Neurospora crassa OR74A: one gene and its partners. The protein of the gene in region 1 interacts with the protein of each later gene in a biochemical or structural test. Links are inferred from orthologs where the notes say so. Each region holds a gene or a part of one and is shown in the gene's direction. Other genes may lie near its edges.

Region 1 (3,313 bases):
GGCACCGCGACGGCAGAGTGAGATCGCTGGGGAAACGAATGGCGAAGAGCCACAGCTCACTGGGCTTGTCCTAATCGGTGCAAAAAGCGGTGGAGCACCACAGGCATCGCCGGCGTCCAAATCTGGTGTAGTGTAGGTGGAAGGAGGAACCGACGCATGTGCCGGCCACTTCACGAACCCCCCCTGTCTCTTTCCTAGGCTTGTCTACACGACACTACACTACATAGTACACTACACTACGGCTTGGTTTTCCTCTTTGAGCCATCTCCTCGTCATTACATACACTACGACTACGGGTCTTGATGGTTGTTGTTCCATCAAGGTCAACTTTTGGTAGGAAGACTTCTAGCTTCACCAGTCTGACGATCTCTCGGCCAGAAGTTCATGTCCAGCTTTACATTATTGGTGATGTACAGACGCGTGGGCAAGGCGGTTCGATGGTCATATGTGTGTAGTTACATTTGTGCGACCATGAATGATATGTACCCGAAAGGCTTCGAGATCCGACACGAGGTGGAAATCCGCGCGGTGTAATATCCGGACCTGGTGGAGAGGATCGATGACTTTGTTCTCGAAAAGGTCATTCAAGGCATCGATCCCATCCGTCTGACTCGAAGGAGTTTTGCTCCATAGTATTTTATACTGGGTAGTCGTGGAATCATATACTATGTGCCTCATAGGGGTAATACTCGTTGAGAGGTCCGCGATCCCTTCCAGACTCGGAGCAGAGTGCATGTCAAACATATTCGCTTCGCGGGTGAACACTGTACACCAAAGACCCTTTTTTCGCTTCAGGAAACCTCGTTAGAAGCATGGGCCGGCGTTCCGCTTGTTCTGTTTGTGCTTTCTAATCACCTTCCACATCATCAGTCCGTCCCCTTGGAAACTTTTGTTCAATGTTCCAGGAAGATGTTCTTGACAAGTGCGATTGTAGGGATCTGAGTAGTCGTCTTAGTCGTCATTGCACATGTCAATCATGGTTGAACAAAAAGCAAATGAAAGGACACGGAGATGCAACAAGAGCCCGTGTTAGGACAAGGTCTTCCTATAGTAGCATTGGCACTAACATGTGCTAGCGGGGCGGTGTTTGGCCGACGCCCGCCTGACGGTGCTGTTCCAGCCCAGAGGGCATGGGTCTCGATGGCCTGGCCCAACAAGAAGCGGACGGCTGTGGTTGGCTTCGACACATCGCCATTCAGCCTCGAACAACAGCTTGATTCCATCGATACCTCATCGCATCGCCATTGCCGCCATCGATCGCGCGTCGTCTATCAAACCCCTCCCCCTAATCCATCGACAATCGTCGAGCCCGAACCACGACCGACACAGCGACGCGCTTCCTTGACCAAACCATCGCAACTTACAATCCATTAACCTAATCTAACGACGAACCCTACGATTCGGCAATTCCAGACCTCATTGCTCCCCACGCCATCACATCGGCTCTCTCTATCCCAACGCGAGACATCAACATCATCGTGTACAGTCAGGAACCATCAACAGCGATACTCGCCTGATTTGCGCCAAAGCTCTGAAACACGACCACAACAAAACCTCGGGGACGTTTCAAATACCGCTACCATGAAGCTCTACTACATTGGTGTAAGATACGGCTGCTTTCATAGGGGGTACAAGAAGGTACCTGCTGACCGCGAACAAGATCTACAAAAACACCGAGCAGCCTGCGGTGCAGCTCTGCGGTGCCCACGAGCTTAGCGACTTCTCCAGGTTCACACGAGACCAATACAAGAACTTCATGACCATGATCAGCAGGACTGTCGCAGAGAGGACGAAGCCTGGCCAGAGGCAAAGTGTTGAGGAGCAAGGTGCGTCTATGGTGAACTCTCTGCTCGCATACATGTGCCTAGCTGACTAGGTGGTGTCCGAACAGATTATATTATCCACGCCTATGCCCGCTCCGAGGGTGTTTGCGGTGTCGTCATCACCAAGGACTACCCTCCTATCGCCGCCCACAGTGTCCTTTCCAAGCTCATGGACCAGTTTCTCTCGGAGAAGCCGGTTGCCACGATAAACGCCGCCAAGAACGACGGCGACATCCCTTTCCCGGCCATCGAGCAGTACCTTCGCGACTACCAAGATGCCAACAACGCGAGCAGCATTGCAAAGATCCAGCAAGAGCTCGACGAGACCAAGATCGTCCTACACAAGGCAATTGATAGCGTATGTCCATTCACAGAGGGTAGCAATGCTCTATATAACATGCTAACCTAGTTTTAGGTTTTGCAACGAGGCGAGAAGCTCGACGACCTGGTTGCCAAGAGTTCCGACCTGAGTGCGCAGAGCAAGATGTTCTACCAGAGTGCGAAGAAGCAGAACTCGTGCTGCCTGGTTATGTAAAGATCGTTCATCAATACCAACCAACCACGCGCGACTGTCTTCGCTTTTAGTCAGCCGCACTGATATATGCCATCGACCGCAACGTTCCCCCTACCCAAATACAAAGAGCGACTGACCCCTCGTTGTCTTCGAGGCACTGGTGGGGGTCTCTTCTAATTCAGCTTTTGGTTTCCGCGCAGGTTGCAGTTTGGCTACTGACGACAGAGGGCCTTACAGTAGCCGCTTTGGATATGTGAAAGCCACTTACCTTGACGGCTTCGTGGGCTCTGAGAATGCTAAACTTCTAATTCAACCTGCAATATACCCTTTCTCATATTCATTGTTGTGTGGTACATACCCGAAACTGTGAAAGATTGACCACTGTTTGGCGCTAAAGCTGTGAAATACATACTTCGACTACCAGATGTAGGTAGTCCTGTTATAGATTTGTTATGTGTCGAACCCGAGGCTGCGCACTTATCTGAGAGATCTTCGCTCCGTTTCTTGCATACCCGTTAGTTTCATACGACATCCGCCCTCAAAGATTATGTGATGGGCCGACACAAGCGAAGCGGTCGGGTTCCCCAGTCACGACATTCGGTTGCAGTGATGACGACCTTGTCCGCCACGCCGTAGTGGCGTAAACTGTGCGAGTCGTAACTAATGTACACTATGGTATATTCTAGGGGTTGTTATCCCTCTCAAGCTAGCCCAGCCAAAAAGACTCTTTTGAAGATATGAATGGAAACGTTGAGATTCAAACTACAAGACTACGCAGCAGCATCAATTGAGCTGATCGATGATGGCGGCATTGCGTACGGATCTTCCTCCATGCCGATCTTATATCGGCTCCGTCGGCGTCTACTCATGTGCACTACAGACGTTGGATGCAAGCTGGGGTTCGAACAACATCATAGGAAACTGAGACTGTAAATGTGCGGGGTGGCAGAGGCGCTCCTACCTGATGTCGCGCCTT
Region 2 (3,482 bases), on another chromosome or scaffold:
GCTCCAAGAGGTTTGGAAACGGTGGTGTTGCTGTGCCAGTGGCCGGTCACGACACCCGCGGCGCCCAAAGAAGAAAAAAAGCGACGGCGGAAGCGCACGGCAGATCCTGCTAGATCCTGGTAAAGGTAAGCGGGCAGGGGACTGGCCAAGCCCTGAGCTAGCCTGGCCAAATTAAAAAAGATGGGGCCAATTCGGTGCCGATGGTGGATGACGGTGGACGCCGGCAACGGTGAGTCGCTGAAATCGGCCGCCGATGTGTCAAAACCGTCGGACGTTGGCGTGGGCTTTTTCCTTCGGCGGCGGCGGCGGCGGTACGTAACTCGATCCTGGTGAATGTCGCCAACACTCTCCACTAGCCAAGCGATGATGTATTCCAGCGAATCCTATGGCGTGCCGAGAGTGGATCAGCCTGACAAACCTTCGAATGAAGAACCTCGCAGCGAATTCTCGAATTGTGACCGGGGTCGCTGATTTGTCCGTTGGTGATGGATGTTTTGTGGTGGAGGTTTAGTCAGACGGGTCGGTATCGCTGGGCTGAAGCCTGGTGTTGCTGGACGACGAGCAACAGAGAGAGTGTATGAGTGCGTGTATGTGTGTAAGTAAGTGTGTGCCACGAGGCCGGACCAGATGGCCATGAGCAGTCCTGGTGTTTTGATGTCGGCGACGAAATCCGAATGTCATAGCTGACATATATATGATTTAACAGAAGGTGCAAATCTCGTGGCAATGTCGAGCAGCTACCTACTATTTGCGCCGCAAAACAACATTGCCGACCAATCCGACCCGACTGCCAGGAGAACATTTTCCCAAAGCATCGGTGGCGACAGACTACAAACCCAAAAAAGACTTGGAAAATTCAAGACACCAACCAGAAACAAAAGGCTGGCAATGTGTCCATTTTCTGGGGAAACCAGCCAAGGTTCGCGTCAAGCAGCCGTGACAGTGTCTAGGCAGTGTACACTATATTATCTTAGCATGTCTTGGGACGTGGCCGTTGACTGGACCTTCTAAGCGATATGTCCCCCAAAACAGTTCCCTTCCCTAGGTCGTCATCGGTCTCAATTCGTTGCTGGCTGGTGAAAGGTCAACTCAGTCATACAAAGAAACCAATTGAAGAGTTTCAAGACGCCAAAGTCCCCGGCAGTCCCAGGCGGGGTTGATACGTTCAACTGGACACGGTCCGTGTAAGTTACACTTTGCAAACAATACATACAGCGCTTGCGTACACGTACTGCAACAACACTGCAATACATGCGGCAACGCCAAGCATGTGTACGTCACCCGCCTAGGCTGCAACTGTAACCACTGTAACTGTATGTAACAAGCGGAATGTCATGTGCCCATGCTGGTCCGTGCCCACAGCTGCTGTCGTCTCCCGCCTGCGGCCTGCCTGCCTTTCAGTTCGCTTGTCAGGCTGCTGAGACGACCGCAACGACTAACGGGGCTCGAAGCACACTGGTGTCGCTGGCGACAGACAACATTCGACGACGACCACTACTCCTTGCGATCAGACCAACCACACGCCAGCCCAACCACATCTCGTCCAACGCGACCGCATCAACGACGCCCCTCTTTGGCATGATTAATGACGAATCTGAATAATTGAGAATAACGATACCCGCCGATAAACGAGCATCACCCCGATACGGCCAGCCCGACGACAGCACCCCCACACCTGCCCCGAACCCCAACCTCCACATCCGATAGCAACACATAACTCCATTGAATCCAAGATGGCCAACATTCTCGACAGCGAAGCCGGCACAGAGCTCTTCAAGCATTATGAGACGGAATACCAGCTGGTCCAGGCCGACCTGGTCCAGAAGCTCGACCAAATCTCGGAGCTGACGGGCGAGCCCAGGAAAGCCGCCCTCAGCACGGCCGAGCGCGCCCTGGAGGAGGCCGGCGAGCTGCTGGACCAGATGAACATGGAGAAGCAGAACGTGCCCAGCTCGTCGCGGACCGCCATCAACAAGCGACTGCGCGACTACCGAAGCGACGTGGACAAGTATCGTCGCAAGCTGCAGACGCTGGCGACGGACCGCAGCGCCCTGTTCGGCGGCAGATACACCGATAACCCGGGCTCTTCGAGTGGCGATAGGCATTTTGAGCAGAGGCAGCAGCTGCTATCTGGTGGGTGGTGGACAGAAGCACCTTATACATGGCAAGAAGAAACGGAATGCTGACTATTTCCCCCGAAACGTAAAAGGCACCGACCGGCTCGATCGGAGCACACAACGCCTCAAGGCCAGTCAGGCGCTGGCCGCCGAGACAGAGGCTATTGGCGCCAGCACCCTGGCCGACCTGCACCGCCAACGCGAAGTCATTGAGCACACCACCACGATACTATACGAGAGTGAAGGCTATGTGGACCGAAGTGTCAAGACACTAAAGGGCATGGCACGCAGGTACCACCCTCCCCTTTTGTCCCAATGCGAATCATGATGATTAGGTAATACTGACCACTTGCGCCTTTACCATTAGGATGGCTACGAATCGGATAATCACCATTGCGATCATCACCGTGCTGGTCCTCCTTATCATTGCGGTTATCGTTAGCAAGTTCAGGTGATTGTGTCGAGAGAGCTGAGCGAATCCATAAAGAAGCAATACAACATCAGGTAGAACAGGCAGGGGTGTTCAGTGACATCACGATATATACGAACAGGTGGTGGATGGTTTGGACTGTACCGATGGAGCGTTTGTTATAACAGAGACATGTTCCAGTTCCATGTTTTTCGTATCGTAGGGATGGTATCGTACGGGGGGTTGTATTTTTACACAGACGGCGTCACAAAGGGAGGTGGTTTCGAAATTTAGACGTATTTCTTTCTCATGACCATACGGCGGCCTTGCTTCCATGGACGTTCCGACATCCGACAGGGGAAAACGGCTCGCCATGTCCACCACAACTCGCCGCCACATGGGTAGCGGATCGTTCTCTATGATTTCAAATGATTCTCCTCTGAGACATAGTATCCCTGACTTTGGTCGGTGTTGACCGGGGCCTTGGTTAAAACAAATTTTCTGTTGGCCACTGTTGTTTGAATGATTTGCGTTCACCACACCTCTGCTGGGATGTGACTTGGTAGCTTGGTAGTTCTACAAGAAACAGAGAGCGAGCCTTCGACAAAGTCGCTATTTCTTGTGCCCAAATTAAGCTTCTTTGCCACCCTGAAGAACCGTGGTGTACTGTGTATATCCCAGCAAGAACTGTGTCTTGGTAACTCATGTACACTACAGGCCTATTACAAATGAGTAGACTAAGAAATTTTCCATGTGATGGAAACACGCATCACTGCAAATCACGTCAAGTCATCTTCTTCGAGATACTTTCGTTGTTGTTAACATTTGCATATAACCCCACTTTCACAGATACGCAGTACATAACGGACCCTCAGACCTTCCACAGCTCCAGTTGAACTTTAGGCGGTGAAAAAAAAGAAGTCCACCGGACTGATGTTCCGCAGCTCAAGCTGCAG
Region 3 (4,121 bases), on another chromosome or scaffold:
TAAAACAACTTTCTGTGCCCGAGTCCGTTCAAGAGACTGCCATTGGGATCCTTGGACCCCGATGTGAAAGGGCGTTGATCCTTGGTCGGTTCCTTGACCATGAACATGGTGAACGCAGTGTTACCAGCAATCCAAACGATCAGGAGCATGGTGCTAGCCAGGATGATCGAAGTGGCGCTTTTGAAGGAGACGGGCCACGAATATGGCACATAGTTCGTCTTTGGAAGGTTGAAGAATGGGCGAAAGAAGAAGAGCGACAGCCGCCAGACCACCTTGCGCAGGAACGGGTAGGTGACCAAAGTCAATATCAGGCTGGCAAGCGTTTGATTGAGTGACTGCAAGAAAATGCTAGGCATCTCACCCCAGAACTTCTTCATAAGGGTGCCGACATCACTGTTGTTGTTACGGACGGCCTTCTCTGAGGGCTTAGCGACACCCAAGAGGAGCCGGTCAATGTCCAAATACAGATGTCTGATGGCCTGGTAGACGCCGAGCATCACAAGATGGGTGGTAATGAAGACAGCCTTCTCGTTCAGCCTCTGTCTATCGTACGACAGGTACGTCACCCATTCCAACCCAGAGTCCTTAGGCTGGGAAAGGAGGTAGACTTGGGCAAACAGCCAGGCAGAGAAGGCATATGTCAAGATGGTCTCCAAGGTTGAGAAGTTGCGCCAATGCTTCAGGAAGGTATCGAAAGCCGAGTCGGATGTTCGGTAGCCGGGATGGTATTGTGCGATGCGCAGGATGAGGATGAGCGAGCCGGAGAACCAGAAGAAGGCGGCGCGAAAGCCAGTCGGGCCGATGGGAAACCAAGACCAGAGGACTAGATGGAGAGCAGCATGGTCAGTTGGTTCGCGTCAGGTAGCAGAAGGTAGCTGGCCAGCTTACAAGAGTTCCATCTGGCCAGGCCAATGGCATAGACATATGCGATGACGAGCAGAATCAAGGCTGTGGTACTAAAACGGCGATGGAGTGCAGGCTGGAGGAAGTCCTTGTAGGGCGGTCGTCTAACAGATGCGGACGCCATCTTCACAGCACATTGTCGACAGTCCCGCCGTCGTTATGGTAGTTGTTTGCCTGTGGATGGTGTCTGGAAGACGTGATGCGCGTGAGGGGGAGGGCGGGGAGGGGGGAGGTGGGATTGGTCCTCGTCGAAATTAAGCTGAGGTCAGTAAAGCCCAATTTGGATCTTGAGGCAGCAGCTTCGGGTTTGATATGAGGTGTTGAGTTGGTTGTATGTAAATAAAAAAACGGGGTGGGCCTGCCTGCCGCGCTGGACTGGACTGAACTGAAGCTTCCAGTTCCCGTAGTCCCCAAAACACGAGGGGACGCGCTGTCGTCAGCCTGTCACTCTTTTTGGATCCACACGAGCTGAAGGCCCGGTATCATGATTGGCCAAGATGCCCCATTACGTCTCCAACAAGCCAAGCCGAAGCTTTGGAGCGGCAGGGCAGGACGGCAGGGATCCACATGGAAGTTCCCTCGAAACTGACAGTGGATGCTGACAGCGCACAGCGGGCAGCCACTGAGGGACAGCGACTGGTGGTGTCCTGGCTCGCCTGGATAACGCAATCCATTGCAACCACTTGCGACCACTTGCGACCCGGCATTGTCGTCCCAGATCACAAGTCACAAGTCACCTTAGGTTCCCGCGCTTCAACTTACAACCATCCACCCAAGGGAACCTTGGACCACCACCGCCTGTTGACAAAAACATCACCAACAAAACAGGCACCGACGAATCGCTCGTTTTCCGAAGGGCCTCATCTCAGCTTCCATTTGCTTGAAGAACCGCATACTTGTACATACCGAATCCCATCTCGTCGACGACAATCAATCACTACCCTGCGCATCGCATCAGGCACCGATAAGCCAAACTATCTGCTATCATAACCACAACCACAACCACGACAACCACCACCAGCAACCATGTCATTCGATCAGCTCTCCTCCCTTGAGGCGGGGCGCCGTCGTAATACCGGTGGCAACCAGTACACCGATGACCCCGAGTTCCAGCGCCTCTCCCAAGATTTGATGAACAAGCTCTTCAAGCTTAACGGCAACAACCAGCGACTCCAAGGCGAGGTCGGCCACCTCGGCACGCGGCGCGATACTCCACGGGTTCGGGAACGAGTCCACGAGCTGATTGAGGAGTCGCGCGATCTATTCAAGGAAGTCGGCGGGGGCGTCAAGAAGGTGCAAACCTGGGAAGATGTCACTGTACGTTACTATTCTCTCTCTCTCTCTCTCTCTTATCACCACTCCTCGTCCCCTCCATTGCCAAGCGCCGGACCGTAGACTAACACGCCATACCCAAAAAAAAACTAGCCGACCCAAAAATACATGCAACAAAAACTCTCGCGCGAATTCCAATCCTCCCTCTCCGAATTCCAATCCCTCCAACGCACCGCCCTCGACAAGCAAAAAGCCTCAGTAACCGCCGCCCGCTCCGTGATTGACGCCACCGACCCTTCGCACTCTTCGCACCCCGTGCTCGAGTCCGGGGAACCCCAGCTGCTGCAATATCAGGAGCAAGAACTCACCCACCTCGCGTCGCAATCCGATGTCGATTTCCAGGATGCGCTCATCCTCGAGCGCGAAGAGGAGATTCGCAATATCGAGCAGGGTGTTGGCGACTTGAATGTGCTGTTCCAGCAGGTGGCTCAGATTGTCAGCGAGCAGGGCGAGATGCTGGATACGATTGCGAATAATGTGGAGAATGTGAGGGATGATACGGCGGGGGCGGATAGGGAGTTGAGGAGTGCGGCGAGGTATCAGAAGAATGCGAGGGGCAAGGCGTGCTGTTTGTTGCTGATTTTGAGCGTTATCTTGACGATTGTTTTGTTGGCGGTGTTCTTGGGCTAAATGGGTGGGACATGATATGGCATGGTATGAAAAACAAGTGCAGGATGCGGAAAGACGGGACACAGTAAGGATATGATTGTTGATGATGTTTTGATGATGAAACGGAAGGGAATGGCCCGGAGGACAGGGTAATCCTGTAATGGTTGGTTTTGTTATTTCTGTTGCTGTCGTTGTTGTTGATTTCGTTATCGCAAAGACGCCTGGGAGGGATCAAAGACAGGGGAAAGGCGTTTTCGGAGTTCTTACATTCTTTTTTGACTCTTGTTGGCTATACAGTTTCCATCTGGCCTCTGTAGGCGGCCAGTCCATCTATCATCCATCCATAGGTATCTTATGTCTCATACATCTACATACATACTGTACAAAAACCGCTATGCTCTATCTTGTGACATGGCTTGCGAGATCACTTTCTTTACGGCTGTGTGATTCGGCTCCCAATCCAGCCCCGGCAGCTTCGGTCTCACATACGGATCATCTCCCCTCCCCTTGGCCGGTCCCAGATATGGCGGCAACGGCATCTTGGCCGCCACCACGCTCGTGATCGCGTTGCTCGTCAGACTCGTCGTGATCCAGTACAGGTGCAGCGCCGCCGGCAAGTTGATGGTGGCGGGCCCAACGATCAGCGTCAGCAGCAGCAGCGCCCGCTGCATCCTAAGTCCTACGGACTTTTGCTGCTTGATCTTGGATGCGTGCTCGCCAATATTGTTTGGGTTGACGTCCTCCGTCCCGGGGTTCAGGAGACGCAACCACCCTTCTTGGTTGCGAGGCATTACGTTGACGAACATGGTGAAAGAAAGAACGAAAGGGAGAATGTGCAGAGGGTCGGCGGCCATGAGGTCGGGGAACCAGAGGCAGCCCTCCATGGTGGTGGGGAGGGTGTTTTGGAAATAGCTGGAGAGGGATTCCGGGAGGATGTTGGCTAGGGGGTTGACAATGGCGTCGGCGACGGGCGTGGTAGTGGTGACGGATGCTTCCGTGACGGCCTGCGTGGCGTTTGTGGCCGCTTCAGTTGCTTGTAACACTGCTTGTTGTGTGGTTTCCGCCGCCTTCGAGGCCGCCTCCGCCGCCGCCCTCCCATCCTTATTAGCCCCCAAAAACATACCCAACAGACCAACCGGTCCGCCACACAACCTCCTCAAAGCCTCGATACCCACCAGCCAGCCGGGAAAGGCCAAAAACGGCACAAACTGCTTCCATGGCTGCACGCCCCACTCTTTCAGTAACCTTTTGCTCGTCTTCTCCATCCGCTTCATGAT
Region 4 (3,951 bases), on another chromosome or scaffold:
TACAGGAACTAACATGAACAAAAACAGAGGAAGACAACCTCGAGGAGATCGACCCCAGCAATGTGATCAGTGGTCCCCGCACTCGCCAGAAGGAGATCGACTATGCCAAGGCCGCTCAGGACTTGCCTGCCGAGGAGGACGATGAGGAGGACGACGAGGAGTTTGTGCCCGAGGATGAGGAAATGGAGGAGTAGTCCGAGGCTATCTTCTGATTTCCTTTGATGGTTCACAACAACAACAACAACAACAACAATGACAACAGATTCTTGTTTTCTTTCTTCCTGGGTTTCCCCGTTGGCTCTGCGCTTTGCTCGCTGCCAGTGGTTGAGTTTTATGATGATCACGAGCTTGGAGATGTAAGCCGTCTTTTGGCTGATTGCTAAGCCTGATTGGCTGGACCTATTTATGTACGTGAATGTCAGCTATAAGGCCTGGGGTTGTTTGGTTCAATGCGTTGGGAGTTCCCACAATCAGAATTTGGCAATACATGATAAGGGTGTAAGTGATCATTCGTTTATCAGTTCAGGTAGACCGATCTCTTCTGTCAGCCAATTTCAAAGTATCAACATACTACGTACGTTGGTGTATCAGAATACGCTTGATCGCTTGTCTTCACTAACCTAACCCCCATAAGTGGAGACATTGGATGATTCCCCTGTCAGCTCAAGGGCAGTTGGCCTGTTGAGATGGGGTGCCACTAAACTAACCGCGAGGCAGCCTGAAGGGGGTGATATGTCTACGGCTGACCTATGAAAAGGTAATATTCCGGCGAATTCTAGAGTTGCTATGACCATCGAGATTTGATATCGGTCCTGTTCCTGGAGTACACAGCAGACGTCAGGAACCGGAGCATCGCACCAGCCACCAACAAGGTTCGCGATCTTGGCCTGATCCACCGGGTATTCTACGCAGTACCATACACCAGCTTCTTTGACGCCAACATCTGTGAGAATGCATGCCTTCGACTTGGAAAGCTTCAACGATTCTGAAAGTCTCGGATTTGGGCTTAGATTCGCTTCAATAAGTCCATACTTGAGTCTATGCGCCTTGCGCAATCTAACGTGGATCAACTTATTGCTGACGCGACAAGCTGAGAGAGAAAAAAAAAAAAAAAAAAAAAAAAAAAAAGGTAGAGGAAGAATGGAGACGCTGAACGCCCAATTAGCCAATATCAGTGGAAGCAACACGGGCACCTCTCGGAGGGACTTTGAACAACGCCGAACATGAACCCTCCGACATAAAGAAAAATTGAATGATTAAAACCAGATACATTGGGGAAAATAGTGTCAAGTTCTCTCGGAGAGGAAGACGTGACACCAACCCAGATGTTCAATCAACGTGTCCTTGTCAGCATCATGCGGCACGAACAACATTGTACCTTTTAGCCATTACATATGTATCACCCAGACACGGACTGACGTTGTAGTTTATGTACATGGACGGCGCACCAAGGTAACATCTGGCCAGAACAGGCCTAACAACCACCCAAACTAAAAAGGGGGATCTGCCGGCGCTGGCGGCCAAGGGTCCACGGGCATTCAACTTTATTTTCTTTCTTCACCACCCGCACACCCCCCGCCCGACGCTACCTCTATGGAACCTGCCAATTCATCATCTCTAATACCTACCCACACTCTTACAAGTTAGCTAGCATTTACCTGTCAGGATTCTCGAAGACGGATCGACCTAAATTTGCTCTCCATGATGGCTTCCAGGTGAGTGCGATTCTCTTGTACGTTCGTCTTAGCATTGCACCACACCACACGCAAATGCCACCTTTCACATTTCGAAATGCGACTTGGCCTGTCAACTCGACCAAACCCACGACCGACACGCGATGAAGCGAGCGGCCGACCGAGCTGCCCGGCTCCGGTGAACGGGTGTACGATATTGCCACCGGAAGATATCTGCGGACCAAAGGCAGCAGCTATCGATGTTATGGTGGTTGGTTTGACAAGTCACGATTTCTCGACCTGCCCCCCCTGGTCATGGCGCGACGGCCTCAACTACGTCATCGCTCTGGTTTCAGAGTCTCGCCAACACGCCTCCAACCATGCCATGGTAGGATACGATACGAGTTCACTACCGTGATGTGATGCAGTCGCAACAGCGGCGCAACCACAGCAGCACTGGCGACGAGAGCGAGAATGACAGCGAAACCGAAAGCGTCAACTCGATCCATCCACCATGCCCCCGGGTCGTCCTCGATTCGACTTTGACCACCCACCACAACCCCCATCCCACCAACCCCTTAATCCTTCGAACAAGACAAGACAACACCCTTCTAACAATTAGTCCGCTTTTCTTTTTCTCCGGAGTACAGATTTGCACATTCCTCTCTACACCAGCGCGACCCGCGCAGCGACCTTTTCAAGGGCTACTCTGGCTCCAGCGCAGCCGAGCGCCGCTCGGCCAACGCCAGCCCAGCAAGGTATGGCGGTGGCGGCGGATACGGGTACGGGGGCGGCTATGGTGGCGGTGGGAGTTATAACGGCAGCTCGTCAACACTGGGGATGGAACGGGGCGGGTTTAGGCCTGCTACTCCAAATTCAAGGGGCCAGTACAGCGACGCAGTCCTCAACGAACTCGAGAGCCAGAATGATGAGCAGGTGGAAGGGATAATGGGTAAAGTCAAGATTTTGAAGGATGTATGTTTTTGTTCTCTCTTTCTGCTCTCCTCCCTCTCTCCCACTTCCTTCTCTCGCAAGCCACCCATCAACTAACCCCATCCCTCCCCCACAAACAGATGACTATAGCCATCGGCGATGAAATTCGAGACTCCTCCGCCCTCGCCGAGAAGATGAACGAATCCTTCGACCAAACCCGCCTCCGACTCCGTGGTACCATGAACCGAATGCTCATCATGGCACAGAAGACCAATGTCGGGTGGAGGGTGTGGCTTGCCTTTTTCGCTGCCGTGGTGTTCCTCTTTTTTTACGTGAGGTATCTCTAGTATCCTTCCAAGGTCAAGGTTTTTCTGAACTTGGAAGAGAGAAAAAGAAAGAAAAGAAAAAGACAAAGATGGAGGGATATGTTGGTCGGCGGAGTGGTCCTCCTGCTGCTGCTGCTGCTGCTGCTGCTGCTGCGCGGGGCAAAGCGATATGTTCAAGAATGATGGAAACGAGAAAAGAGACCATATATATGCAAAGGAAAGATGGGATAGTATATATATGGCTTTAACGATGGGTAATACCAATGGATGATGAGGAAAACGGAAGGTTCTAGGTCAAAGTGGCTGACTACCTTGTGGGATAGAAAAGGCATGGATATGGGTTGCCCTTGGTAGATTGCGGGCGGACTTGGTTTTTGCATGCTGGCGCCGGGGAGTTCGCGTTTGTTAAGTCGTTCGGGTAGTATCAGAAGTCGGTTTTTTTTGGTTTTTTTGTGGTACCTAATTATTTTAATCATTCTTAATCCGTTCTCCAACCAATGAGGTTCAATTATCTGGTTTAATCCACTGATCAATCATGAAGCTATATATGGGCTCCCACAAACGTGAAGTGGATAATCATTGAGCGTATAACAGACAGTTAATCAGAACTGCGTGTAGACTACCACTGCATAGACCAGACCATTGCTGTAACGAAGATCAAAGTTGTCTTTTGACGGACATTATCTATTCAATCCTGCTTCCCAAGCCACCAAGTAGCTACCCATACTGCCATGATCCCAAGACTCCATGCGCCAGACTCAAACGACCTGTTATTGAATGATGCTTGCTGACCGTTCCTACCACAACTCCTCAGTTTTAATCCTCCCTTGTTTCTCTTTCCGAACCACCGCGGACCTTCATTCTAGTGCAACCTCCTCACCCTTGGACTGCTTCTCATCATGGGACTACTCTCATCAACAGACAACAGCCCACTGATATCCAGACTGCTCCTTGGCGCTCCAATTGTGCTCCGCCTGGCATTTCCCGCAAGACTAGTCCTCAACAGCCGCTGCTGCTGC

Evidence for each region. The genes of interacting proteins can lie anywhere in the genome.
Region 2: the proteins of NCU08973 (region 1) and NCU05959 form a complex in vitro, tested with the Saccharomyces cerevisiae proteins (3 studies listed by BioGRID). The link is inferred for Neurospora crassa OR74A from reciprocal best matches to the Saccharomyces cerevisiae genes YKT6 and VTI1.
Region 3: the proteins of NCU08973 (region 1) and NCU06777 form a complex in vitro, tested with the Saccharomyces cerevisiae proteins (2 studies listed by BioGRID). The link is inferred for Neurospora crassa OR74A from reciprocal best matches to the Saccharomyces cerevisiae genes YKT6 and PEP12.
Region 4: the proteins of NCU08973 (region 1) and NCU01741 form a complex in vitro, tested with the Saccharomyces cerevisiae proteins (3 studies listed by BioGRID). The link is inferred for Neurospora crassa OR74A from reciprocal best matches to the Saccharomyces cerevisiae genes YKT6 and BET1.

The regions. Positions count from the first base shown.
Region 1 is NC_026503.1:4,097,510-4,100,822, reverse strand, and holds NCU08973 (SNARE protein Ykt6), read left to right. Parts: upstream 1-1,139; 5' UTR 1,140-1,581; coding exon 1,582-1,602; intron 1,603-1,660; coding exon 1,661-1,826; intron 1,827-1,891; coding exon 1,892-2,181; intron 2,182-2,238; coding exon 2,239-2,358; 3' UTR 2,359-2,813; downstream 2,814-3,313. Other genes in the region: NCU16686 (hypothetical protein), read left to right, coding at 1-21.
Region 2 is NC_026506.1:3,311,437-3,314,918, reverse strand, and holds NCU05959 (vesicle transport V-SNARE protein VTI1), read left to right. Parts: upstream 1-1,416; 5' UTR 1,417-1,733; coding exon 1,734-2,133; intron 2,134-2,209; coding exon 2,210-2,408; intron 2,409-2,484; coding exon 2,485-2,572; 3' UTR 2,573-2,982; downstream 2,983-3,482. UniProt on the Saccharomyces cerevisiae protein: t-SNARE found in various SNARE complexes involved in multiple transport pathways. The composition of the t-SNARE complexes is specific for a limited number of v-SNAREs and therefore allows only the vesicles carrying the matching v-SNARE to fuse.
Region 3 is NC_026502.1:1,962,467-1,966,587, reverse strand, and holds the start of NCU06777 (syntaxin), read left to right. Parts: upstream 1-1,321; 5' UTR 1,322-1,929; coding exon 1,930-2,220; intron 2,221-2,328; coding exon 2,329-2,865; 3' UTR 2,866-3,236; coding exon of another isoform or gene 3,237-4,121. Other genes in the region: NCU06776 (hypothetical protein), read right to left, coding at 1-823, 889-1,027; OXA-2, read right to left, coding at 3,237-4,121. UniProt on the Saccharomyces cerevisiae protein: Plays a role in the sorting and targeting of vacuolar proteases.
Region 4 is NC_026502.1:2,582,606-2,586,556, reverse strand, and holds NCU01741 (SNARE complex subunit), read left to right. Parts: upstream 1-1,486; 5' UTR 1,487-1,701; coding exon 1,702-1,715; intron 1,716-2,323; coding exon 2,324-2,648; intron 2,649-2,746; coding exon 2,747-2,953; 3' UTR 2,954-3,451; downstream 3,452-3,951. Other genes in the region: NCU01740 (histone H2A.Z-specific chaperone chz-1), read left to right, coding at 28-194; NCU01742 (hypothetical protein), read right to left, coding at 3,795-3,951. UniProt on the Saccharomyces cerevisiae protein: SNARE required for targeting and fusion of ER-derived transport vesicles with the Golgi complex.